Saccharomyces cerevisiae S288C: one gene and its partners. Changing the gene in region 2 together with the main gene of any one other region gives a genetic interaction. Each region holds a gene or a part of one and is shown on either strand. Other genes may lie near its edges. The genes, in order: UGA3, DIT2, RPS6B and GCN20.

What was found.
Region 1: mutations in DIT2 (region 2) and UGA3 together harm fitness more than expected from each alone (negative genetic interaction), as found in Saccharomyces cerevisiae (2 studies listed by BioGRID).
Region 3: mutations in DIT2 (region 2) and RPS6B together harm fitness more than expected from each alone (negative genetic interaction), as found in Saccharomyces cerevisiae (3 studies listed by BioGRID).
Region 4: mutations in DIT2 (region 2) and GCN20 together harm fitness more than expected from each alone (negative genetic interaction), as found in Saccharomyces cerevisiae (2 studies listed by BioGRID).

What each region holds. Positions count from the first base shown.
Region 1 is NC_001136.10:154,770-159,323, reverse strand, and holds UGA3 (Uga3p), read right to left. Parts: upstream 3,007-4,554; coding exon 1,420-3,006; downstream 1-1,419. Other genes in the region: UGX2 (Ugx2p), read left to right, coding at 589-1,260; GLT1 (glutamate synthase (NADH)), read left to right, coding at 3,684-4,554. UniProt on the Saccharomyces cerevisiae protein: GABA-dependent positive regulation of genes required for catabolism of GABA (UGA4, UGA1, and UGA2).
Region 2 is NC_001136.10:1,269,166-1,277,097, forward strand, and holds DIT2 (putative cytochrome P450), read right to left. Parts: upstream 4,539-7,932; coding exon 3,069-4,538; downstream 1-3,068. Other genes in the region: UTP5 (Utp5p), read left to right, coding at 1-237; HPT1 (hypoxanthine phosphoribosyltransferase), read left to right, coding at 903-1,568; URH1 (trifunctional uridine nucleosidase/nicotinamide riboside hydrolase/nicotinic acid riboside hydrolase), read left to right, coding at 1,898-2,920; DIT1 (Dit1p), read left to right, coding at 5,437-7,047; DNA-directed RNA polymerase II subunit RPB7, read right to left, coding at 7,489-7,932. UniProt on the Saccharomyces cerevisiae protein: Involved in spore wall maturation. Thought to catalyze the oxidation of tyrosine residues in the formation of LL-dityrosine a precursor of the spore wall.
Region 3 is NC_001134.8:589,318-596,694, forward strand, and holds RPS6B (40S ribosomal protein eS6 RPS6B), read right to left. Parts: upstream 3,458-7,377; coding exon 3,452-3,457; intron 3,100-3,451; coding exon 2,395-3,099; downstream 1-2,394. Other genes in the region: DTR1 (Dtr1p), read left to right, coding at 424-2,142; SMP1 (Smp1p), read right to left, coding at 4,189-5,547; YBR182C-A (uncharacterized protein), read right to left, coding at 6,044-6,238; YPC1 (phytoceramidase), read left to right, coding at 6,798-7,377.
Region 4 is NC_001138.5:156,399-165,246, reverse strand, and holds GCN20 (putative AAA family ATPase GCN20), read right to left. Parts: upstream 2,760-8,848; coding exon 501-2,759; downstream 1-500. Other genes in the region: ubiquitin-specific protease UBP6, read right to left, coding at 1-180; FAR7 (Far7p), read right to left, coding at 4,047-4,712; YFH7 (Yfh7p), read right to left, coding at 4,887-5,948; YFR006W (putative Xaa-Pro dipeptidase), read right to left, coding at 7,495-8,848. UniProt on the Saccharomyces cerevisiae protein: Acts as a positive activator of the GCN2 protein kinase activity in response to in response to low amino acid, carbon, or purine availability.

The DNA of each region.
Region 1 (4,554 bases), 1.1 Mb from region 2:
AAGCCATTCAAGGGAAGAAAATTAAAAGATGCTTTATTTTTATTTGTGGTAGAAAATAAAACTAGCCCCGTAAGTATTATATAGTGAATGTAAGAAAATAGGCCAACAAATTCTGACACTAAATACTATTAAGTGACTGCTGACTTTCGGTTGTCACCTAAGGGGTTCTTGAAGTAATTATGGATATTACGCAGAAAATAATCGCATTTATAAGCAACAACTGTCACGATTGACCTGATGCAAAGGAAATTAGGAATATATATGAGTGTAGAAGAAGATGGTAATATCCAAATTTTAAATTTTCCTTCTTACCGCCTTAAATCAATACCATGGATTAATCATTCAAATATATGCAGAATCATGTTAATGGTTCTTTTTGTCTTTTCTGTGATGCATATTCAGTAGTCTGTGATGAGCATCCCCCCACAAGAAGGGCAATTTGATGAAATTCTTACTAGCGCCGTTCGGAACGAGGTAAGGGCGCTTTTTAAAGGGAAAGAGCGTATCATTTGATAAGGATAAATTGAAATCAGTACCAGCGTTAAATGCAGATAGTTATATCGTGTTCATAACCGCTACTGAAGAGTCATGGAGGATAAGGAGAAACTTATTGTATACTCAAATACCAGTTCGGTATTTACATATAGTGCAGAAATAAGGCCAAATTTTAAAATATCTGTATCTCAAAGTCAAGGTTTTGCCTGGAACCAGGACTTATTCGCCACACAATACCAACAATCATATAAGGTGGTATATGATGCACACGAGGACAACTTTGATGAGTTAATTTTGAAGATCAAGGGCAAATTAAAGACAAAATCTAATAAAAGAGCTAAAATGAAGTCTAAGACTAAATTAACAAGGACTGCAAAGCAGAGAAGGGAAAGCCCCGTTTGTGAAAGGGACGAGAGTGACGAGGATAATGATAGTGATCACTACCAAAGAATACAAGTGCTAGATGGCCATGAATTTCCGAGAGCAAATCGGTATAAATCTGTATGGGCTCATGACGTCCACTCGAATGAAGATAGTACAAGCGACGGGGAAAGCAATCATGATATAGATATGATTGGCGGCACTGGCACGTCGTATGCAGGAGCAGCCATAATGGATAGGCCACGCAGGAAATCTGAGAGAAGCATAAGCTTTGTGGAGGACTCCAAGACAGGCGATTACAGGTATCAAACCGGGCAGGTGGATGTTGTAGAGGTGGACTCGGACACCCCTGAAAATAATCACCTAAAATGGTTAATTAAATAATTACTTCTATGTCTCAACGTTAGCATTTCTACATTGTATAGGTATAAATTGTTTTTGAATCCGTACGTCCTACAAAAAAAAAAAAGAACATATATATGTTTGTGTGGTGAAACAATAATTTAAGACACCCAGGGGGCGGGGAAAGAAAATATATGCTGCTCAGGCAAAATTAATATTGTAATCTAATTCGTCAATCATGTGGACCAGGTCATGCTCACTGATGCCATCAGCCTCGTTTTGCCAAATTTTCCGTATCAATAATCTAGCATTTTGGAAATTGTAACATTTATATCGTTTTAAAATGTCGTCAAATTTGGCTTCCAAATCTATTTTTTTCTCCATATCTTCTACCTGAATGCATACACCGTAAATGAAAAGTGGGAAGCATAACGATCCTTCCAAAAAAGTTCCGATGACCTTGTCTAGCTTCGAGTCCAATTTGTTTCTCAGTATCTGTAGTTCCAGCGAATCTTTGTCAATCTTTAATAAAGTTAATTGAAAGAACATTAAGGTAGAAATTTTCATTATCTCGAATAGTTCTAAATAGTAAAATTTCTTTTCATCATCCAAATGTTCCAGCGCCATAAGCGAAGGTTGTAATTTATAAATCTCGACTTGCAAACTCAAAATTTTATCGCCATGCTCTAGCATTTCTTCCTGTTCCATAGTCTGCAAAAACCTCGTCAAATTTGTGACTTGTCCCAATAGTAGTAAAATAGGCTTGTTGATGCCAATTAAAGGGTCTATTTCCTCAATTGGCGAGTCTATTGACTCAATAAAGTTGGCTGAGCTGGGTAAAGAGTTCTGATCCCTTTGGAAGAATTTCTCGTATTGTTCGATCGGGAAGGACGTTGTATTGAAATTCAAAATATCATGATATATAAAATTCACAATCAGCCAGTACTTAACAACGGAATTGAAATTGGGGAAGATTATCCTCTCCTCTAGGGAGGGTTCTTCTGTAGTAGTGGTTAGTATCCGTGAGACATCCTTGCCCACATGGTTTTCGATCAAATTTTTTCCTATATTCAATAATATCTTCCAAAATTTCACATCACCCTGACATATCTCTGAACCACATAAGATTAGGATTTGTGCTAGTGAATATAGAAACCCCAGTTTAGCACAGGCACTTGAGCCCTCGTTTGTCTTTAGATGCGATAACGACATGTATGTATACTTGTTCGCCAAGTTGACAAATATTTCATCCTTTCGCAGCTCATTTGATGATGATATAGACAAATGATTAGCTGACCAAGCAAGAATAGCAAACAATATACCATCATTCTCGTGGGCCATTGGCAAGAAAATGTTCAGATAGTAGTTCTGGTTCATGGGCGCGATGGAAATTATGTTTGCAAGGTGAGACCTGTAGTAGTTGTACAGCTGCAATCCCATAGAGTCCAGCTTCTGAGAAATGCAATCTTCCAGCGGTTTTGACAAATATACCTGGTTATCCTGTTCGTCGCTACCGACCCGTCGAGTACGGGTGGCCACGGCCGCTTTCTGAGCACTGTCAGGAGCATGCTTTCTTTTCTTGCTGATCAACTGGTGCTGTATATCTGCCTTTATTTTTTTCAAAGACTGCTTATCAACAGATTCTGATATATAGATACAGGGAAAACTTAATCGACGACAGTCCCGGCACACAGGTTTATCTTCAGAGCATCTCTTCTTTCTGATCTTGCAAGTAATACACCCATGCTTCGAATATTTCAATTTCAGCTTCTCCACGCCATAATTCATACCTCACTTTAAAAAACTTTGTTTTCTTGGCATCCATACATGAACAATAACAACAATTCTATATCATCTTAAGTAAGACTCTTATTGTAATTTCTTTTTCTTTGATGACTCAGACCCTGGTAGCCCTACCGTTCAACCCTATACAGCGCAAATTTGGTCCTAATACACTTCGGTTTTAATGCGTCAATCCGATTGGCTCCGATAAGCTTTTGCACATTTTTCAAGTCATATGTCACGACGAACGTGATGCCCGCAAAACGTAAAAAAAAGAAGCAATAAATTGCCCAAAAAAAAAATATAAACTGCTTTTCTTAGTCATTCATAAGTTCTGATGGTCTTCCTTATCTTATTGTATTTTTCGTCCTATTGTTTCATTTCTTACCAAATTAATCAATTCTTATATCTTACTTGATAACACACCAAACTAATCGTCTCCACATCATAGGAAGATAGGAAATTGCTATCTCAGTCCTATACTACGCAGACGGATACTCTCAGTTGCTCTTTCTTCCCCTTCTTTTAGCTCATTGAGGTAGTGATTAACGTTTAACTTATTTATTTATTTTTCTGCTTCAGTTTTTTTTTATTTATTTTTGTCTTTCTACTCTCTCTTTTTTCTTAATCTATTTGCCATTTATTTATTTTGAAGAACTAGAAAAAGAATTAGAAAAGAAAGCATGCCAGTGTTGAAATCAGACAATTTCGATCCATTGGAAGAAGCTTACGAAGGTGGGACAATTCAAAACTATAACGATGAACACCATCTTCATAAATCTTGGGCAAATGTGATTCCGGACAAACGAGGACTTTACGACCCTGATTATGAACATGACGCTTGTGGTGTCGGTTTCGTAGCAAATAAGCATGGTGAACAGTCTCACAAGATTGTTACTGACGCTAGATATCTTTTAGTGAATATGACACATCGTGGTGCCGTCTCATCTGATGGGAACGGTGACGGTGCCGGTATTCTGCTAGGTATTCCTCACGAATTTATGAAAAGAGAATTCAAGTTAGATCTTGATCTAGACATACCTGAGATGGGCAAATACGCCGTAGGTAACGTCTTCTTCAAGAAGAACGAAAAAAATAACAAGAAAAATTTAATTAAGTGTCAGAAGATTTTCGAGGATTTAGCTGCATCCTTCAACTTATCCGTATTAGGTTGGAGAAACGTCCCCGTAGATTCTACTATTTTAGGAGACGTTGCATTATCTCGTGAACCTACTATTCTACAGCCATTATTGGTTCCATTGTATGATGAAAAACAACCGGAGTTTAATGAAACTAAATTTAGAACTCAATTGTATCTTTTAAGGAAGGAGGCCTCTCTTCAAATAGGACTGGAAAACTGGTTCTATGTTTGTTCCCTAAACAATACCACCATTGTTTACAAGGGTCAATTGACGCCAGCTCAAGTGTATAACTACTATCCCGACTTGACTAATGCGCATTTCAAATCCCACATGGCGTTGGTCCATTCAAGATTTTCCACTAATACTTTCCCCTCTTGGGATAGAGCTCAACCTTTACGTTGGCTAGCTCATA
Region 2 (7,932 bases):
TCATCCGAACCAGTTGTCGAAGAGGACGAAGACGACGTTGAATATAACGAAGAACTCGATGATGCCGGCCTTATAGAGGACGGTGAAGAATCTTATGGCAGTGAAGAAGAAGAAGAAGGTGATAGTGACAACGAAGAGGAACAGAAGCATACCTCATCTAAGCAAGATGGCCGTTTAGAAACGGAGCAGAGCGACGGCGAGGAGGAAGCCGGATATAGTGACGTTGAGATGGAATAGAGGATATCATGCATAAAATGCTTTCACGCATCAGAATACAAAAATAATCTCTAGGCACATAAATACTTATATAGAGTTCACCACATAATGTAAGAAAAGAAAAAAGAAAAAAAAAGATCACGAAAGTATCCCACGCGAAGAAGATCTGTCAAAAGACCCCCACAATCGTTTATCCTTTTTGAACTGCATCTGGCATCGTTAACAGTAAGGCCATCTGGAACATCAAGCAAGCACTCCACTTTTACGTCACAACCATAGTTGGTTAACTAAGAAAAGACAGTACATATTTCCCTTCCGAGTCACTTATTTTTTTTTTCTTCTGAAAAAATTAATTAGATTAATTTCAATTAATATCATTTCCGCTTATCTGACTTCTTTCATTTTTTTTCTCTATATTTCGCGTTTACTAGGAAAGAAAAGGAAAAAAAATTTTTCCCCCTCCATCTGTCCCAAATCGGGTAGCGATGAGCTGCTATAGAATTTTCTATTTAAACATGTTTGATAAGCCCAATTTCCGTTAGATTTTGTTCCCCCTTCGCAGTTTGGTTTGCCGTAACTTTTTTATTTTAGTCTCCATCTAGCTGGAGTAATACGATGTAGTGCCTTGTAATCTTTCTTATTTTTATATTACCGTTCGTGTTCATTATATCCATTACGTTCCCATAATGTCGGCAAACGATAAGCAATACATCTCGTACAACAACGTACATCAACTATGTCAAGTATCCGCTGAGAGAATTAAGAATTTCAAGCCGGACTTAATCATTGCCATTGGTGGTGGTGGTTTCATTCCTGCTAGGATCCTACGTACGTTCCTAAAGGAGCCCGGCGTGCCAACCATCAGAATTTTTGCTATTATTTTGTCTTTGTACGAAGATTTGAACAGTGTAGGCTCAGAAGTTGAGGAAGTTGGTGTTAAGGTTAGCAGAACACAATGGATTGATTACGAGCAATGTAAATTAGATCTAGTCGGCAAGAACGTTCTTATCGTTGACGAAGTCGATGACACCCGTACCACACTTCATTACGCTTTGAGTGAATTGGAAAAGGATGCAGCTGAACAGGCAAAGGCTAAAGGTATCGATACTGAAAAGTCTCCAGAGATGAAAACAAACTTCGGGATTTTTGTTCTACACGATAAGCAAAAACCAAAGAAAGCAGATTTGCCTGCCGAAATGTTGAATGACAAGAACCGTTATTTTGCAGCTAAAACTGTTCCAGACAAGTGGTATGCATATCCATGGGAATCTACTGACATTGTTTTCCATACTAGAATGGCTATTGAACAGGGCAATGACATCTTTATTCCTGAGCAGGAACACAAGCAATGATAGACATATCATATCCTTCAGTAACTTGAATCATACAGCAGAATTTGTACAATAGACAACGCATATAACTGCGACCATATGTATACGTATAACTAATTATTATCTCAAAGTTTATTCCCTTAGCCTCACCGGTAACCTGTGAGGCGCGATTACGTTTTCCCTCTGTTCACCACCACGTAACGCGATATTTGACACATACGTGACAACTACTTTTGATGGAATCTGCTGATTTTTTTACCTCACGAAACTTATTAAAACAGATAATTTCCCTCATCTGCAAGGTTGGGGAAGGGTTGGACAGCAATAACCAGCGACTGTTTGAAGAAAAGATGACTGTTAGTAAAATACCCATATGGCTAGATTGTGATCCTGGTCATGATGATGCCATAGCCATTTTATTAGGCTGTTTCCATCCAGCTTTCAATCTTCTAGGAATCAGCACGTGTTTTGGTAACGCACCGCCAGAGAATACTGACTACAACGCCCGTTCTCTTTTGACTGCGATGGGCAAAGCACAAGCGATTCCAGTTTATAAAGGCGCACAGAGACCTTGGAAAAGGGAACCTCATTATGCTCCTGACATTCATGGTATATCAGGTTTAGACGGCACTTCTTTGCTACCTAAGCCAACATTTGAGGCAAGAACTGATAAAACGTATATTGAGGCCATTGAAGAGGCGATTCTAGCTAACAATGGAGAGATATCCTTTGTGTCTACTGGTGCACTTACCACATTAGCAACAGTTTTTAGGTGTAAACCATACCTAAAAAAATCTGTCAAATATATTAGCATTATGGGGGGTGGACTCCATGGTCTAGGAAACTGTAACCCAAATCTTTCTGCTGAATTCAACGTTTGGATTGATCCTGACGCAGCGAATTACATATTCCGTGATCCCGATGTAAAGGACAAATGTATAGTAGTTCCTCTAAATTTAACTCACAAGGCCATAGCTACTTACAAGGTTAACGAAATGATATACAACGAAAAGAATAACAGCAAGTTACGAGAATTGTTTTTGGAGCTTTTTCAATTTTTTGCTCATACCTACAAGGATATGCAAGGATTTGAATCGGGCCCACCTATACATGATCCGGTAGCTTTGATGCCGCTTTTGGAATTTTATGGGTGGGATCCATCGTCTGCGGTTGGATTTCGCTACAAGAGAATGGACATATCCTGCATTGATGATGTTTTCAACGAAAACTCAGGGAAAATTATCATTGAAAAAGAATATCCAAATGACAGTGATGTTGGTACAATAATTGGTCTCGATTTGAATATCCAGTACTTTTGGGATCAGATTTTTGAAGCATTAAATAGAGCAGACAAAATGTCAACGATTGGATAAGAACTTCTATAAAAGGCTTTTTTTTTTTCTACTGACCTTTGGTCAGGTTCTGTTCCTTTCATTTTCACTGGATACAAAGAAGTTTCACTAAAAGTTGTCGCGATTGTATACATATATGCGTATATATACAATTCTACATGTTTTATATTTATTCCATTATATTCTCGTTAAATTTTAACTTTAAATTAAGAGGGCAAAGAGGCCCAGCGGGAGTTAATTTTTCTTCCCATTCAGGGTCAAGACTCCATCGAAACTGTTTCAACATTTCAGCCAAAGAAATTCTCATTTCTGTTAGGGCTAGTTTTTCCCCTAGGCATGCTCTTCGGCCTCCATGGAACCCAGTCACAGCACATCTGTTTTTCGCCATTCTCCAGTTTTTCCTTATGGTTTCGATATCTGAACCCCATCTTTCTGGTTTAAAATCATCTGCTGTTGTGCCCCAAGTTTTGGGATCGTGTGAGGTTCCAAAGTTGTTGTACCCGACATATACGCCCTTGGGTATAACAATTTCCGCCCCCAACTTGCACGTTTTGGTAGTACATCTATTAATAATTGTGCTCAAAGGAGGATACATTCTTACTACTTCGAAGAGAAAAGCATTTAATAAGGGTAAATCTGCTAAGCCTTTTGGATCAGTGATGCCGTTTACTTCCTTCCTGAGTTTCTCTTGCCATTCATTTGAATATTTGGCTAGAAGGTAGAGTGAACTATTAAATAGCAACTGCGGGTTTTCATGGCCAGCGACAAGGATAATGACGATATTATCGGTCAACTGTTTGTAGTCGATTATTTCGTTATTGTGAGCACGAATTAGATCACTGGCAGCAAAAGTAGTTTGTTCAAATTTGTAATTATTGACTAATTCATCTTGAACTCTTTTAACGAGAAGTTCTCTAAAACTAACAACATCCTTGAAGGCTTTTTTTCTTGAAGGAATAGGAAGAACATCAAGGAATGGAAAAGTTAAAAAGAATGGATGAAATATTTGCTTTTTAATACGAATCAAATGCTCGTGGAAAGCATTTTTTTCATGTGTTAGAGCACCAAAATCAAATCCAAGGGCAACCTGTGAAATGTTATCCAATGCCATTCTCTGGGATAAAGGTCCCATAGGGATCGAAGTTTGTCCTTCTAGGAGTCTGTTTTTTATCAAAGTGCATAAAATTTTTGCATTTTTGAATATAGGTGCATCGTCAAAATGTTGGAGCCCGTTTGTCACAGCATTTCTGTAGTTTCTCCAAACTGCACCATACGCGCTAATGACATTGTCCCCTGTGTAAGCGGCAAGAGCACTGTATGGGATTTTCTTTTGATTACCGCTCTTCGCAAAAGTATCTTCATCTTTGAATATTTGTGCTAGATACTCAGAACGAGAAACGAGAATATTCCACCGTGAACCAAAGAAAAATTTTACAGCACCGTATTTTTCCATTGATTCCCTAATATAAAGATCGTATAGCTCCGTTTGATCAATGGGAAATATTACTGGTAAAAATACTACATAAAATGGGATGGTGGGTATATTTTTGGGAAAGTTTAGAGGTGGGACAATGATTGCAAAGGCGACATAGGAAAGAGTAAGAAATAAAATCAAACACAGAAGCTTTAACAACTCCATTTTTAATGCTTTTTTCGATTTATTCTCTTAGTCTGAATCAAATACCATTTTGAAAAAACGAAAATATTTCAAGAAAATTAATGTATTTTTTTGCACTACCTAATATACTATTCGCATCAGGATGACCAGTCATTCCTCTTGTGGTCCGTGGCTTGTAATTTTCGGGAAAGATAGAAATCACTGCATTCATCGAAAGAAGTGAAAATAAATTGTATCGGGGAAGTAATGAGGGGTGGAATACGTAATTGCTTCTCAATTTGATAATACAAGTTACAGTCTTTTTATTGAGAGTCCCTGGAAGGAAAATTATTGATGTTTACCTTTTTTTGCGACGCGCGTCTGGCCATAAATAAAAGGGTTCTCTTGCCAAGAAAAAATAAAAAGGCGCCTTAAGGGACCTTCTATGACAAATATGGTGAGGTATGCAACCTCAATGAAGAGCAATGAGAAAATTTAAGGGGTAAGTAAGCATCGGAATTTGTTGTTTCCTAACAATTTGTCTAATTTACTCAATAATATCAGGAGAATTGATCGAAAAAAGCAAACCAGGAACCCCTCACAAATAAGGGAACATAAAGTAATTGCTCGTCTTTACATACATGGCACTCAATCCCAGACGTCGCGTGCTAAAAATCCTTATATTATTGGCCCCTCAGGAGTTTATTTGAATTTTGATTGCATTGCTTTCAGTGGACAGTATATCATAAAATTTGCAAGGGCATAGTGCCTGCCCTACGATGTTGTAAAACAATTTCTGAAAATAGGTTCAGAATCAAAAATGATGTATAAATATTGAAATAAATTTTCACATAAATTGTGCTCCTCCGCAAAGTCTTGACTAAATAAACAATTTGTTAATATCCTAATTCGGTAAAGCTTTGTCGAGACATTAACAAAAATGACATTTACTAGCAACTTGCCCTCAAGCTCCGAGCAGTCAATATCACCACCTGCCTCTTCATTTTCTTCATCGACTGATACGTTGAAAGATATTGATATTCCCCATAATGGGGCCGATTTGTCTACATATAGTAAATTTCTGGCCCTGTATTGCAGAAGCGACAAATGTGACGATTTTTACTCTTTAGAGGAAAAACAGAATTGTAAATTTGGAGACCAATGGCTCGACTTTATCAACACTATTCACAATCTGGACTTTTCTGAATCCGAAGTAAGTGGACGGGTTTCTGAAAGAATTTTGCCAGCTTCTTTAGCAAATAAATTTACCAATAATTTAGGAGTGGCAATAAAGATTTCTGAATATACACGCGATGACGAACGCCAGATTCGTGGGTGTGTTACAACAGTTGAGAATGAAAATTCTTTCAATAACTGGTTCGTATATCATATTTTAGACCAATCTCAATTATCTCTAAGTGAACATCCAATTGTAACCAAAGAAGTTAAGTATCACGAATTATTTGCAGATTTTTTTGAGAAAAATTTGAAAAACACAATAGTTAATGATCAATGGAATTTTGGTGGCCGTGATTATTTTATTGAACGTTCAAGATATTTTACCGATCGATATTTGAGAATTGAATGCATCTTGCCAGCGTTTCCATGTAAGTCATCTAATGAGCAAAAAGTGTACGGTTCCGTTCCTGACAAAGGCGAAGAACTCGCTTTGAAAAGATTAATAAAAGCCACACAAGACCTTGTCAAGATATATCCACCGGGTATGAAAATTTGGATAGTTAGTGATGGCCATGTTTTCTCCGATTGTATTGGGGTCGATGATGACGTCGTGAGTACTTACACGACCAAATTGCACGAACTGTATAAAAGAGTGGCTATACCTGGTGTTGACGCCATTGGCTTTTGTGGATTGAACGATTTATTTTTTAGCGGTGCAGCTAGTAAAGTTTTCGATCCAAAGTGGGTTAGTGATGTTGAAGTTGCACACTACACAGGAACTCAAATCTGTCCTAAGTCCGATTTGTCGAGACAGATTTTGATGAAAGGCTGTGATACAGATGCAGGTCGTTTGAGAAAGCAGATTGCAATAGAAGGACATCCAAGATTGCATCTGTATAGGGGCTTTTCACGTTTTATGATGGAAGATTTATCTCTACTGGAACATTTCCAAAGTTATTCCAGAAAAAAATTCAAGAAAATCATTTCAATGATCGCTTTTAACATGATTAAGAGAAATGACGCGTATTCGAACTTAGTGGAATTGATATTCCCTCATCATTTGAGAATTTCTATTCATGCGCACACTAACAGCGGGCCCAAATTTGGTATAAAAGTAATCTCCAACGAACAGTGTTCTATTGTTAGTTCGTTAGAAGACCTTGATGAACCCAAATTTGAAGATTTTTTACATATTCCCACACCTTGGCATAATTGTGTCGTGAAGGTTGAGGATGAAAAGGAGAAATACTTTTTGACAAAATCAAAAGTAGTCAAGGAGGCTCTCGAAAAGGGTATGTATGATGGTGTATGGAAAGATACTCGTTTCGATATTGGAGAAGGAGGACATTTCGTTATCAAGAAAATCTCTTAATAAAGTAAGAGCGCTACATTGGTCTACCTTTTTGTTCTTTTACTTAAACATTAGTTAGTTCGTTTTCTTTTTCTCATTTTTTTATGTTTCCCCCCCAAAGTTCTGATTTTATAATATTTTATTTCACACAATTCCATTTAACAGAGGGGGAATAGATTCTTTAGCTTAGAAAATTAGTGATCAATATATATTTGCCTTTCTTTTCATCTTTTCAGTGATATTAATGGTTTCGAGACACTGCAATGGCCCTAGTTGTCTAAGAGGATAGATGTTACTGTCAAAGATGATATTTTGAATTTCAATTGACGTAATTAATGATACTATTAATAATACAGAGCGTATATGAAGTATTGCAAATAACATGCACAGTTCTTTTGGGATGAGAATGATAATGAAAGGCGAAGGCGGGCGTTCAGAAAAGCGTTGCGGAGTAACAAGTGATTAAATAGCACCCAAATAATCTTCTTTGATACTACCGATTGCGTGAATAGAACTCACTTGACTGATACAACCTTCAATTTTAACTCTAATTCTACTTTTTATGGTGATGACATCCTCGGAACTTTGGTATGATGGTGGGTTTGAACCCGCATTAAAGGTTAAATCTTGAGGCATCAGATGCTTTGTCACAAATACTTTCATTGGACCTACTTGCACTTCGAACCCGTGCTGAGAACATGAAACGACTGTGCCGTCCACTACTTCCCCTTTAAATGGTTTGAAAACTACAGCTCTATATTTCACGTTGAACTCGGCGGACCCATCTGTGGGCAATATTCTCCCACGTTGAATATCTATATTATCATAGTCTAGGACACAAAGAATATATCCGAATTTACCCGTACACGAACCTTCAACCTCTTCCAATAGTTTTGTCTTTAGATA
Region 3 (7,377 bases), on a different chromosome or scaffold from region 2:
TAAATATTAATCTCCGTTCGGTCTTTGCGCGAGTTATTATACTAGCGCCACGTATTAGTAATACTATAGCTATCTTGCCAGATAAGGGATCACAAGGAATTATATACCGTGGATCACAACTATCCATATCACTCTTCCCAATTTCGCGGAGAAATACTTATGCAGGTTTCCAAATCATTTCCGTAGCCAAAGCTGCCTGTTGGCCACTGTTTTGGCATCTCTCTACATTTTTTTTTTTCATTGATACTTTCAACCCAGACATTCTGTCACCTGGTGAAAAACGACACAAACTCCTTTGTAACAACAATTGCAATTTTAAGATATATGAGAATATTGATAAGGCTAGAAGGATGGTAGTAAGAAAAGTTGTTGTTGGTAATTTTTCAAAAAAGAGTTTCAAGAGCTGGGAAAAGAATTAAGGCAATGGGAAGCGAACCGTTTCAGAAAAAGAATTTGGGTCTGCAAATTAATTCGCAAGAAAGTGGAACAACCCGCTCAACATTTCATTCGCTAGAAGATCTAGGAGATGATGTAATTAATGAAAGCTGGGATCAGGTGAACCAAAAGAGAGCCAATATAGATCATGATGTCTTTCATGAGCACCCTGACTCTTCCCCATCATTGTCAGCACAGAAAGCAAAAACAAAAGAAGAGGAAGTTGCTGTAAAGTCATCGAACTCCCAGTCAAGAGACCCTTCTCCTGATACTCAAGCACATATTCCATATACTTATTTTTCCAAGGATCAAAGACTAATCATTTTTGGAATTATCATTTTTATAGGATTTTTGGGCCCAATGTCTGGAAACATATATATACCGGCTTTACCATTGCTGCAAAGGGAATATGATGTAAGTGCAACAACAATAAACGCTACAGTTTCTGTATTTATGGCTGTTTTTTCCGTTGGTCCATTGTTTTGGGGCGCACTGGCGGATTTTGGTGGAAGGAAATTCTTATATATGGTGTCGTTATCACTAATGTTAATTGTTAATATACTTTTGGCCGCTGTACCAGTCAATATTGCTGCCCTTTTTGTTTTAAGAATTTTCCAAGCTTTCGCTTCCAGCTCTGTGATTTCTCTGGGAGCTGGCACTGTAACAGACGTTGTTCCTCCAAAACACAGGGGAAAGGCCATAGCGTATTTCATGATGGGTCCAAACATGGGTCCTATTATAGCACCCATTGTTGCTGGGCTTATTTTAATGAAAGGAAATTACTGGAGATGGCTTTTTGGTTTCACTTCTATCATGACAGGAATAGCATTGATCTTGGTTACTGCTTTACTTCCAGAAACGCTACGTTGTATAGTTGGTAATGGAGACCCTAAATGGGGTGACAAAAAAGATGAACGTGAAAATAACGAATCTCCATTCTTCGAAGGTAATAAAATATCACATCGGCGTCTGTTCCCAGACATTGGTATCCGTAAACCAGTCAATAATGATGCTTTCTTCCAAGAAAATTTTCCAAAGCCGCCTAAAGCAGGTTTGACACTATATTGGAAAATGATTAAATGTCCTCCAATAATAATCACGTCCGTCAGTACTGCACTCCTGTTCTCCAGTTACTATGCGTTCAGCGTCACGTTTTCGTATTACCTTGAACATGACTACCGTTTTACTATGTTAGAAATTGGTGCTGCTTATGTCTGCCCAGGTGTAGCTATGTTACTAGGATCTCAATCTGGTGGGCACCTCTCAGATTATCTTCGTTCACGCTGGATCAAAAGTCATCCTAAAAAGAAATTCCCGGCAGAGTTTCGTTTATTACTGAACCTAATTGGAATTTTACTAACAATATGTGGCACAATAGGATACGGATGGGCAATCTTCTTTCATTATCATTTTGTGGTTCTTTTAGTTTTTTCCGCTCTCACTGCCTTTGGTATGACCTGGTGCAGCAACACATCAATGACATATTTAACTGAGTTATTCCCCAAAAGAGCTGCTGGAACTGTTGCTGTTAGTAGTTTCTTTCGAAATGTGGGCGCTGCCATTAGTTCCGCTATCATTTTACAGCTCTGTAACGCAATGGGAATTGGATGGTGTTTTACAGGGCTCGGTCTCTGCAGTTCAATTTCATTGATTGGTATATTATATCTTCTCATTTTTCAAAGAAAATATACTGCCAAAGAATTTTAAGAAATAGTTTATGTTTAGCTATAAAATTTAACTTTTAGAATTTTATTATATTATTTAACTTTCAAGAAAATTTTCTCATCACTCATCCCAAGGACTTCAAGAAATAGAACAATGCATCATAAGTTTATGAATTACGTGCATTTGGACCTTCAAAGAATAAAATCGAAGTTATAGTTAATTATATTAAATTAAGCCAAAAGTACATATATCTAAAAGGAAAAAGTATAAAAATTATGCAGGTCCAAGACATACTTAAGCCTTCAAAGAAGAAGCTCTTCTCTTTCTGATTTCGGCCTTTTCAGCCTTTCTTTCAGACAATCTCTTAGCCAACAATTGAGCGTATTCGGCAGCAGCTTCTCTTTGAGCTTGAGCGTTTCTGACCTTCAAAGCTCTTTGGTGTCTCTTTCTTTGCAATCTTTGAGGAGTAACCAATCTTTGGATCTTTGGAGCCTTGGTGTAAGTCTTTTCACCCTTGGTGACTTCTCTTCTGATGACGAAATCACGAACGTCATCTTCCTTGGACAAACCGAAGAACTTTCTGATGTTGTTAGCTCTCTTTGGACCCAATCTCTTTGGAACAGTAGTGTCAGTTAGACCTTCCAATTCTTGTTCACCCTTCTTGACAATGACCAAAGCCAAGACAGCCAAATCTGGACCAACAATGGCACCTCTGACGGACTTTCTCTTTCTTTCACCATCACGTCTTGGTCTGTAACAAGAAACGTTCTTGGTCAACAACAACTTGATTCTAGTTGGCAACAAAACACCTTGCTTCATTGGGAAACCTTGTTTGTCGTTACCACCAGAGATCTTGAAGACGTAGCCCTTGAATTCATCACCAACGGCTTCACCATCGACTTCTTGACCGATTCTCTTGTCGAAGAAAACACGAATACGGTGTTCATCATCAATTTCGAAGGTCTTTTGAGACCCGTTGACTGGGTAAGAAATGTTCAACTGTTATAAATAATACCATTTGTTAGTAAAGTTGTCCGAAGCCAATATCGACAAATTCCAACGAATCCCTGCTGTCCTTTCTTCCGTTACAGGTTTTTCTTATTTTCATTGATATTTCTAAACCCTTTTCGTAAATTCCTTTTTCATTCCTTAATTTGAACTTAGCGAGATATTTTCCTAAGTGTCGGTACGTGTATATTAGAGGGAATTATCTCGTTTAAACAACGTTGTTCTTGAGAATTTTTATTATAGTGCACTAATTTGTGGGTATACGTTTATCAAACAGTCAGAAACAGCCGGTTAGCGCGTGCTGATTCATTAGAATTCTAAGGATTTGGGTGATATTACATACCTTCATGATGGCTCAGTCGTCTATTCACACTGGATAGTTTCAATTAATGACTTCCAAATGTTTTGAAGGGCACACTATTCAAATTAAGATCACTTTTCATAAAGATGAATTTTTCTCCCATCAGGCATTCATTGACCGTGCCCTACAAACCAAGCCAGCCGAGATTGTATCAGCTCCACGCACATAGGATTTTCGCCTGCCCTTGGCCCATACCGAAAGAGTTTCCTAGGATGATGGGCCGGCATGAAGATAAGCGGCCTGTATGCCCGAGACACTGAAAAAAAACAGCAAAAAAATAAGATGTATGGAGTTCAAAGATGTATGGATGCAAGAAAAGAGGTTAATGGTGCAAACTGTAGAAAAAAAAGTAAGGAAATAATTTATTTTTAATAAAATTAACTGAAAAGATACATGTATATTTTTCTCAAATTAATCAATGCAATATGTGATATATTTGCTATCTGGCTTAATGAGATAATTTTTTACATAATTATGTTGAGAAGTTAACAGGGCAGTCTCTATTGTTTTGATCGATTGAGTGCACAAAAATTGGAAGGGGGCCGTGGAGCACTACCTGCAAATTGCTAGAAATTTGCGTCACTACATCTGAAAAATGTACGAGCGACATAATTGTCTATAGCCCTAATTTAGAAGACGTTTGCCTAAATGCGCCAACATACACTCTTAATTTTAAGCGAATGCTTTCTTGTAGTAAAAAGTAGCTAGAAAGCGATTCATTAATCTGGAGAGTTTGTCGAACTCGTGGATTTCAAAGTTGAACTAGCTACCGAGGAAGGAAAAACCACAATAGATGAAGACGGGCTTTTCGGAAATTTAGGCGGTCTTCCAATTGGCGGTTTCAGAAAGAATGTTTTGTTATTTACATAAGTGCTGCCACATCGGCCATTATGATATAAGTCGTCCATATCATTGTTCTTGAATCCCAAAAACTTTGAACGAGAAAGAGGGGAGGACATGTTGCTGGCGAGCATTTGATTGGGAGTGGCTTGTACATCCGTTTTCGGTGATGCGGTTCCTGAATACATTGCTGGCGACCTCTGGCAAGCGTCATTTGTGGCCTTCGGAATATTTAGCTTTAAATATGGCTTCCCTGAGAGCTTTCCTCTATTGCTGTTCAGTTGGTGCAGGTGATGGACCATCGCCTGCACTGGAGCTGGACCTTCCAAAGTATTTGATATAGCAACTGTCGGGTGTATCTTTTGCTTTGCTTCAAAGCTCTCGCTGTCACCCGTCCCATTAAATCCTTTTCCCATTGGGTTACTATTTGCCGGAATAACCTGTACAAATTGCGATTGAAAGGATGGAATATTGCCCACTAAACTTGCAGGCAATGAAGGCTTTGGCAAATTCTCGTAAGGCGACGGGTAAAAATTATGATAATTAGAGTGGTTAGATTCAGAAAGTAGTAAATGAGTATCCGGCCTAATCCTCTTGTTCATAAAATTCCTATGAATAGCCTCGTTTGCAACATGCTGTTGGTCTACGCTTTCTTTATAATCATTAGCATGAAAACTCCCACCAGAATTTAAACCGCCTTGCAACATTTGATAATCTGCACTATTTCTTGCACAGTCAGAATGATTGGATCCGCTACGTGATATTGCTCCGTGGCAATGCACCAATGGTGTACTTACACCAGCGTTCCCGGCGTCATTTGACGCCAACGGAGCGCTTAAATTCCCATTGTTTTGTACACTGGAGGAATCTTGACTCGAAACTGTACAACTCCCAGAATGGGAAGCTGGTTGCAACACGGTTGCTCTTCTTCGCCTGCGCTTCCTTTCATTCAGAACAACACGTGGTTTTTTCACATAGTCACCATAATCAGATGGTTCTATGATATTATGAGGAAGATCAGTGTTGTTTTGATGAACATTAAGCAGGTTACTCATATCAACAGAAGAGTATTCGTAGAATGTATTATTGGATCCTAAAATAATGACAGCAATGTCTACTTGGCAAAGTACTGACAATTCATGAGCCTTTTTAAATAGTCCTGCTTTTCGCTTTATGAAAGTAACTGTACGATTTCTATCATCTTTGATAGGTTCAATTTCAATTTTTCTTCTACCCATTTAGCAGAAATTTTTTTGAAAATAATTGTGTTTGCTTATCTAGAGCTTTATTAAATTTTTTTCTGATGAGATAGGCCTGCTCGAAAAAATAGTCTGTCTTTGAATTTGGCTCGTATATTTCTCCCTTCGAATGAATGATAAAGAAAGACTCAAAGGAATGATGTAGTGTTATATAGATTGGCTAAAATAATTTGGCAAAAGAAAGATGGATAAGGATAGTTCATGTTTTTGAGTCCTTCACGAACATAGGAAGCCGGGTATGCGTGGAGATTTAAGTTTTGCCAAGCCTCCAATTACTCGAGCGAGATTATTTTTGCAGAAGAAACAAAGACGCCGCTTGTTACTAAAAAAAGAAGGCAACAATAATGCAAAAAGTTCGAACCAACTGTACCTCAAGCCGTTTTGTAAGCCACTATCATCGGGAACGGTACAGGTAGAATGATAGATGAAATTTACGTAAGCGTTAATGGAAAACAATAACGATGTGGTGTAAAAGCTAGTGCGTAGTGTGAGTGCCACTAGTTTTCTTTGACAGCTTAAGAGCAAGCTTTTGGAGCTCACAATCAAGTGAAACAAGAATTATGTTCATTTTCTCCTTCGGAACTGCAGAATAAAAATTCTTTATACTATAAACACCGCCATTATCAAAAAAGTATTGCTGAATCATGGTATACAGCGTGAAAATCTTCATGGCATTTCTACAAATTCTTTTTAGTTAGTATCGCCAACCATTAACCTTTTTAGTAATGCTGACGTTAAACGAAGGCGAAAAAAAATACTTGGCAACACCATCGTTTATATTTTTTTCAAATGGAAGTGTCGGCCGACGTAGCATAGCAGGAAAGATTCAAAGGCAAGGGTTTCACATAACGTTACCCTTCTGACCACGCCCCTTCTTTCGATCCCACTAGTGCGGACGGATTATCACGCAAGTTTTTTAACGCGAGACATCGGAAAATATTTATGCCGATTAGATCCGGCCCCTGAAACTTTTTGTTTGATACTTTCAAACGCACTACTCTACCCCATGACATAAAAAATATCTGTCTCCGGTTATATATGTCTAAATAGAATTCGGGTAGCATTTTATTTTTATCGCTTATAGGAAAAAGATATTTGCATATATATATCTATATATCCTATATACATCTATATAGTTATTGTGTAAGGGGTTTTTATAAGGTCCGATACTTACAGAGATTAATTTGTAAATAAAAGCAGAAATCTTTATTTAAGAAAATAGAAGATTGATGGGAATATTTCGTTGGAACTATCCAGAGAGTTCTGTCCCCGGCGTTTGGGGAGAAACAACTTCCACTATTGACTGGTGTGAGGAGAACTATGTCGTTTCTCCCTATATTGCCGAGTGGTCAAACACTTTAACTAACAGCGTATTCATACTGTCAGCGATTTACACAACTTACTCTGCTTACAAGAATAAATTAGAAAAAAGGTTTTTACTTATTGGCTTCGGGTACGGTTTGGTCGGAGTAGGATCATGGCTATTTCATATGACACTGAAGTATAGATTCCAACTATTGGATGAACTTCCAATGATATACGCCATGTGCATTCCGACATGGAGTTTAGTATGCGAGGCCAAAGAGGCATTACTTAACGGAGATAATCACAAGAAGGTTCCTCTATTTGAACAGATATTCATCGGCGTAATTATCGGCCTGGCCGTTACAACAGCAAGCATACTCTACGTTATTTACAAAAATGTCGATATCCATCAAATTTTGTTTGGCGTACAGATTGTAGTTGTGGCTGCTACTGCAGGAAGTTTGACGTACAGATACGTCCATGATCCACTTGCCAAAAGAAATC
Region 4 (8,848 bases), on a different chromosome or scaffold from region 2:
TTTAATGGACTCTTCGCCAGACAAGCCACCTTTAACCATGTATTTTTGGCGGGCACTTGGGACTTGGGTCAATTCCTCTGCTTTGCTTTTCAAATCTGCTGAAGTAGCATCAGTGGAAAGTGTTATTGGGTAAACTTTACCAGAATGTCTAATATTGAACTCAAACGTTTCTCCGCTCATATTTTAACACAAGGATAGGTAGGGCTAATTTCCTTATTTTTATATCCTCTTAGAGAACGAAATCTCGTATTTCAATTGCACCAATTACTTGCAGTGGCAAAATTCGAAAAGCACTTCACCCTTCTTGTAGATTTTATGTTTTATATTAGCCACTACTTTTTTACGTAAAAAGTGATACATATACCAATGACCCAGAATGCCCAGTTAGGTCAATTAGATTCCAATACAAGTAGTCAAAAAAAAAAAGTATCATGGGGCTATGAATGCATACTTAATTTAGGCTTCTATGGAAAATATATTCTGAGGTGCTTCCTAAATAATCAATGCTTTTTAACCACACCTGCAGCATCAGCAGACTGCAAGATGTAATCTCTATAGTCGTAAATTGTACCTTCGAACCTCTTGACAGTACCTTGCTCTGAAACCCAAATCTCTTTACAAACAGAGTCAATAACAGAGATATCATGGGAAACCATTAAGACACCACCGTTGAAATTTTTCAAGGCTTCTACCAAAGCGTCTAGACCAGTGGTATCCAAATGGTTAGAAGGTTCATCCAGAACCAAAATGTGTGGATTATTTAAACACAATGCAGCGAATGCTACACGAGATTTTTGACCACCGGATAATAATTGCATCTTTTGTAGACCCAGGGTACCAGTGATACCAAATGAACCTAGATGACGTCTATACTCTTCATCAGTTTTACCTGGGAAGGATTTGGACATCCAGTCCACTGCAGACGTGGTCAAATCCATAGAATCCACATGATGTTGAGTGAAGTAGCCTATACGTAATCTTGGGTTTCTTGATACAAAGCCTTTTAGTGGTCTTAACTGCTCCATCATAATCTTCAACAGTGTAGTCTTACCACAACCATTGGCACCTACAAGGGCAATTCTGGAATCCATTTGAACGTCCAGGTTAACATCTTTCAATAATAGGTTGTTTTCATCATAACCAAAGGAAACGTCTTGCAATTGGATAATTGGTGGAGACAATTTATCACATTCAGGGAATTTGAAATCAATGGTTTTGTCTTGTTCAGGTGGCTCCAAAACGGGCAATTTTTCCAATTTCTTAATTCTTGATTGAGCTTCCTGTGATTTGGCAGCATTGTATCTGTATTTGTCAATAAACTCTTGCAAGTGCTTTCTGTAAACCATTTGGTTATCATACTCACGTTGAGCATTCTTTCTACGTTCCTCCTTTGTGGTGTAAAAGGTATCGAAATCTTGGCCTCTGTAATAGTCTAGTCTTTCGTTGTGTTGATAAATGATATCTGTAGCCACTTCATTCAAGAATGCACGGTCGTGAGAAACTGTCAAAACTGTATTTGGATATGTTTTCAAATACTCTGCTAAATAAGCGATGGATGGCACATCCAACATATTGGAAGGTTCATCTAACAACAAAAGATCTGGTTGACAGAATAAGGCTCTTGCCAAGGACAATCTCATTCTCCAACCACCGGAAAAGGAATTAGTGGGTTGTTGCTGTGCCTCCGTACTGAACCCCAAACCATATAAGATTGATGCTGCCCTAGCTTCAGCCTTGTCAGATTCCATATCGACTAATTTGTCAGAAATCTGTATCAAATGGTTATCCAAGTCTTCTCTTTCATTGTCCAATTTTTTAACTTCTAAACTGTCTTCTTCGAATTCCTGTCTTAATACATCCATTTCCTTTAATCTTTCATTGATCTTGGCTTCTTCACTTAATAGTTGTTTTCTCCAAACGTCTGCATCCAGCACACTTTGTAAAGCCTTTGTATCATCACCTCTTAACTCTTGTTCCACGTGTAAAATCGAAACATGTTTGGGGACGTTCAGCTCTCTTCTAGATAGAGCCCTTAACAAAGTAGATTTACCAATACCATTTTGGCCCACAAGACCATATCTGTGACCAAAACTTAGAGTCAATTGGGCGTTGGACAAAATTCTTTGACCGTCACCAACGTACAAGTCGAAAGTGTCAATATGGATATCCTTGGATTTACCAGCGGATGAACCGAATTCTAAAGGGTTGATTTGCAAAAAGAAAGAATCGTAATCCTCCTCCTTTTGGTCATTGATCAATTTAGAAGCCTCGTATTTAACAAATTTGTTATTTCTCTTGGCGACTTTCTTTGCGATCTTTTGTTCAGCCTTGGCCAGTTTTTTCAAATCAACTCTTGTTTCCATCTTTCTACCAGTATGTTCGATGTCACCGTTCACACCCAGCATGCTTAATGAGACGTTGATATCGGATTTACTGTTATGACTCTTTAAGACATTAATATCAAGTAATCTCTTGGACGTATCACCGGTCAATTCCAATTTGGCTTCGTTCTCCTTTAGTTGAGTAGTCAATTGCTTCAAAATACTTTCCGATAGTTCTTTAACTTTAGCCTTTGACGCACCCGCATCAATCAATAAATCGGACACAAATTGCACTTCAGTGGACAAATCTACCTGCTTACTTTGAACAGCATCAAAAGTTATTCCGGACAAGTGGTTAAAGTAGCCCACTGCGTAATCCGTGACGATAGGGTCAATACTAGAAGCAGCTTTTCTCACTTGCGAACCGATGCTTGCCATTTCAAAAAAGTTATTTACCTTTTGTGCTATGAATCGAAGTTAACGTTTTAGCGCTTCAAAACGACTAGTCTTAGCTAGCTTACTGCAGAATATATATTTCTCTTTTCAAATGTCTTTCATTTTCTACTAGATCTAATAATACGAAAAATTTTCAGGAACAAAAAAATAAAAATCAGAAAAAAAAGAAACTGCGCAAGCCCGGAATCGAACCGGGGGCCCAACGATGGCAACGTTGGATTTTACCACTAAACCACTTGCGCTTGTTTTCTTGTGAAAACTATCCTTGGATAAATCAATAATAATGTTTGTAACTTCTCTAACCAATTTGAGATGTAACGAATGATAATTAGTGTGTTGGAATAAAAATCCACTATCGTCTATCAACTAATAGTTATATTATCAATATATTATCATATACGGTGTAAAGATGATGACATAAGTTATGAGAAGCTGTCATCGAAGTTAGAGGAAGCTGAAGTGCAAGGATTGATAATGCAATAGGATAATGAAACATATAAAACGGAATGAGGAATAATCGTAATATTAGTATGTAGAAATATAGATTCCATTTCGAGGATTCCTATATCATCGAGGAGAACTTCTAGTATATCCTGTATACATAATATTATGGCCTTTATCAACAATGGAATCCCAACAATTATCTCAAAATTCGCCAAATAGTCAAGTATTATAGCCTTGATCAATAATGGGATCCAATAATTATTAAACTATTCACCCAATCTTCACAGATCTTCTAGTCAACGAGGGAAAATCCATATTTCTAAATAGTATTATTTATCCTTGCACTTCAACTTCCATTGAAGCTGATGATTGTTTCTTAATTTTCATGTTATCTTCTGGCAGCGTATATGAGATTATACTAATTATATGAAAATATATTAATAGTATAGATACTAATCGGTAAACGATAATCGACTCTCATCACAACAAAATGCTTTTGCAAATATTGAGGAAATTATATATGTTTATTAAACATATATATCCTGTGTATTTATAGAGGCTTTCCTCCAACATTTTATTATTTTTGGCAAATAATACAGTAGCTTAGGATATCTTACGCACGCAACTGCAGGAAAAGAACGTCAAGACATTCTGTGAGTTGTTTTCCCGCAAAATGTTCCACCGTCGTTACTTTTTCAATTTCATAAACATATATCAGAATGGAAAAAGCCTTCATAAATGAGCTTCGAATTTTTGCGCAATCTCGAATATAAGAAGCATGTATATTTGTCATCTTGCTTTCATTGGAAGCAAAAGGGCAAAGTTTCAATCTTGTGCATGTAACCTCAGTAGTAATCTATAAGTGTGAGATATATCTGTCAATTTTTGCAGACCATTAACATTTTCCAAATACATCTTGAACTCTTCATCTTCGAGGGGAATTGTCTCCGTCTGGAATTTCTGCCTAATCAATTTGATAGTCTCTTTATGATGCATTAGAATGTTTCCTCTTAATTGGGCGACAATGTAATTTAAAGAGTCTTCGGAGTAAGACAATAAATCCATGGATTCAAGGGTTACCTGCTTGGATTCCTGTAAACTTTTCCGGAGCATTGAATTTTGGCGCTTCAACACTCCTAGCATAACGTCATCTTTCGCATTTTCATCCAGATTGTTGCTTAGTTGCTCTTTCTCAGTAATAGGAGCTTTCCCTCTTTGTTCTAGAAATCTATTAAATAATGCAATATTTTCCGTGGTATCGTGAGGTTCTTCAGATGTCTCATACTTGTTTAAGCTTCCGGATAATATGTCTATGTTCCTTAGTATTTTCGCCTTTTCTGCTTGATTTTCCCTCAACTGTTTCACTAGCTTGTTAACTAACAAGTACATATGATTCAAGTTTTCTGCTTGAGGAGACATATATACTTGCTGCTGCTGCTGCTGCTGCTGTTGTTGTTGTTGCATTGACAAAACGTTGATTTGGTCACTCATATCTAAACCTTGGCTTGAACTTCTTGTAGAATCAATATGTATTACTTCCCATATATGTCGTAATAAAGGGCACCTCTGCAGAGTTCATAAAGAATGCCGTTTTTGCTTGCGCGCCTTAATTATCTGTATTCAGTTCGATTTTACAAAAATATATACAAGGTTCCGCCTAACCTTCTAGTCGTTGCGGATATGGACGATATTATCTACCTTAATTAAATGATTATCTATATCCCTGCCATTCAACAAATCATTGCTGCGAAACTTCTCTCGTCCTTCTGCAATAGTCGTGACTAACCCTGATTGCAAATGCCTTTTGGCCACCCTTTCTTCGGTGGCCTCATAGTCTATGTCAATCTTATAAACAAGAAGTGCTCCCGTATCAGCTAATGTTTTGTAAATTTTCTTCCAGTTTTCTTGGTCATACAGTAGGTATAACCCTTCAAGTATAACTATCCTTGTAAATTTGGAAATACAGTACTGATCTGGAGTTGGGTCTTTTAGTGCATGGTTAAATCCTGGAACAAAGATATCAGGAATTGTTTGGCTAAAAGTTTTGGATAACTTCTCAAAAACGCTTGAAGTGGAGTAAAATTTATGATGTGAGGAGACCTTACATAGGGACGTCTTGGCTAGAATTTTACACAATTGTAAGAAATTGTTACTGTCAAACGTTGAGGGCGAACCTCTTCTTTTATGGGCAGTTTGTGGGTCTTTGAATAGGTCTAGACATCTGCGAGATAAGTGAAAACCATCCATTGGGACTATTTGCGCTATATTGATACTATCCTGGGCCAACTTGTTAACATTGACTGGATTATCAACTGCTGCGATTCTTATGGCATTCGCAGTACCACCTCTGGCAACTACTGCGGTACATTCTTCATTATTTGATGTAAGGGCTGAGTACTTGACTGGTTGAAAATTAACATCCTCAACATGATCTTTAAACAGCCCCTGATTTTCAATCATTTCAGCTACTTTATTGGGCTGGAGCGTCTTTAAAGAGTCTACTAGGTTAACCATAGGTTTCAACCTATCATTAACCTCAATAACATTTGGATGCTCTGACAAAAATGTGTGATATTTTTCATTTATAATTTGACAAAGTTCTTCCGCAATAGTAGACTTACCGGAGCCTGGAGAACCGACTAGGATAACACAAACCCTATAATTATCTTCGATACGGTTATCCAATAGCTGAAGAACGTCGTCTGCTAGTTTATGCGTATCGACCATTGTGGCTAGAATGATCCTCTGGTATGATACAGGATAAAATATGTATAGTACTAGTGAAATTAACCTAACAAGGTTACTTCATTTTTCCCGAAGAGCAATACTTGATGATGCTTAAAGGTACGCATTTAATGAACGAAAAATAACACAGTTCGTTTGAGTAAAAAGAAAGCTCACAAAATTTAATACAGAAAAAAAATTATATGTAAACTGTGGACAAGTCTGATAAGCCCAGATAACCCTTCTATTTCACGAAGGTGCAAGTGCGATTGAAAAGAATTGTTTCATGGCATTAGCTATCAGGACACGAATGCATAATCGTCAAGATATTATCGGTATGCAGCAGTTGAAGTTGTTATTAATGTTATAAGGCACCATCATATGTGGCTTTGGGATGATCTTCCGCCGATTGGTGTTCATATTACAAAAATTTTATCACGCTCGAGGTTAGAAGATGGCATCAATTATGAGGCATGAATAACAAGGTTTAAGCACTAGTAATCATAGCGGATGCTGAAACGCCAAGGTTAATGAGTTCATAAGATTAACGAATAACGAGAACTTAGGTATGAGTCAAAATTTTACTTTCATAATAGATTTATCGAAAATGTGATCAATTTTCTGAATAATTTGATAACTGTTGGGATTGCATTGTTGATCAAGACCATAATATTATGTACACAGAATATGCTAGAAGTCTCCTCGAGGATGTAGGAATCCTCAAAATGGAATCGGTAGTTCTACATAATAATATTACGATTATTCCCCATTCCGTTTTATATGTTTCATTATGCTATTACATTATCAATCTTGCATTTCAGCTTCCATTAGGGTTGATAACTGTTTCTCAACTTTTATGTCATCTTCCTGAACCGCATATGATAATATGCCAATAACATGAATATTACCAAATGGATGGCATTTCAAATTATTACTTTAACAAAAAGGAACCAAATAACTCATATAATAATTACCTATTTCTCAAATAGGTGGACGACGGTTTATCCAATTCCAACAATAATAGTAATTACTAATATTATGTAGATTTTTCGATCCAAGTCCTCGAGGGCGACTCATAGGAATGCTATCTTCAATCAACAATGACATCCGAATAATTATCTCAAGTTTTACAACATTCTCAAATATTATGGTAAAAAGAAAACTTTGCAATCTGCAAAATTCTCGAATTCTGAATCGCTAGATTTCCTTATGAGAAAAGTCACATTTAAAGGTGTTAGCAGCTAGTTATTATAGTCCTATAGTTCCTGTAACAATGAATTTTTCATAAATAGAAGCGGATTTAGCTCAGTTGGGAGAGCGCCAGACTGAAGAAAAAACTTCGGTCAAGTTATCTGGAGGTCCTGTGTTCGATCCACAGAATTCGCATTCATTTTTTGCTCTTCGGGGTTGGTCCTTAATTTTTTCAGTGCCATTCCTTATATTTCCAAATCTAGTTAAATGGTGAATCCAAGATTATAAAAAAAATATACAATTCTGTGTACAAAAGAATATACTAAACTTCTAGAAGCGAGTAAAAAAAAGTTAATACCTAAACGATTACGTGGAAACCTGAACGGGGTTTCTTCAAACCTTTTTGAACGATTTTTTCAATTTCATCAGGGTCAGAAGTAATACCAGTTAAGTTCTCGTAACCATCTTTGGTAACAAGGATATCATCTTCAATTCTAACACCACCGACATACATGTATCTTTTCAATACGCTCATATCGACAACTTCCAATCTTTCGGGGTGCTTTTCCAAAAATTCTTTGATCAAAAATTGATTAAAGTAGCAACCTGGTTCATTAGTGATAACCATATTTTCTTTCAAAGGACGGCGGATTCTTAAATATCTAAACATTGGATCTGGGTCGTCATAGTTTGGATTACCACCAACGTCGTGTACATCAAGCCCCAACATATGCCCTAGTCCATGGGGATAAAAAGCGCAAGAAGCTCTTCTTTTAAAGATTTCGTCCTCAGAAAACTCTTTCTTGAAAATACCCATACTTAAGAAATGTTTAATAAGAACCTTGTGTGTCAGTGCATGTAAATCGTCCCATTTAGCACCAGGTTTAATCCTTTCCATTGCTTGGTTTTGCATGTCAAGAACGGTTTCGTAAACTTCACGATGTTCCGCAGTAAACTTGCCTGAAGTTGGGAAACATCTGGTGATATCACTTGTATATTGTCTCCATTCTGCACCTGCATCAATTAAGATGGAATGTTTACCTTTGATATCTTCTGAATTCTTGACGTAATGTAAAGTGCCACATGCCGGTCCAGAACAACAAATGGGGTCATAGCCCAAAGAACGACCACCTTGACGGGTTGCATGGTATTCAAATTCAGCTTGTATTTGTAACTCGTTCAGTTCGATGGGCAACGCGGACATAACGGCCAAATGGCTCTTGTCTGAAATCTGACAAGCTTTTCTGATGCTTTCAATTTCATACCAATCCTTAATTGCTCTAGTTTCATCCATAGCATAAAAGAAGTTAGGGTCTGAAGGAATTAGTGATCTTGCAATATTCTCGTCATGAACATTGTCCAAATCGGTTGTAAAGATAGCGAAGTCTTGCAATTCTTTAAATTTTTTCCCCAGATCAGATATGTACAAGGCCTCATCAATGTCAAACACTCTCATTGCCTCATCCAAACTCAAAGGCATACCGCTCCATATGACATCTTCTTCATCGATGTTTGGCAAAAACAATGTCAGCTTATCTGTGCTACAGTTAAACAATATCGCCGAAGCAGGTATATCAACACCTGACAAATGATAAAAATATCTATTCTGTCTAAAATCTTTGTTGGTGTCACAATACTTGTTTCCCTCTAATTCTTCACCAGCAATAAAAAATGCTGTGGATATCTTTGATAGCTTCGGATTGCGATTTAAC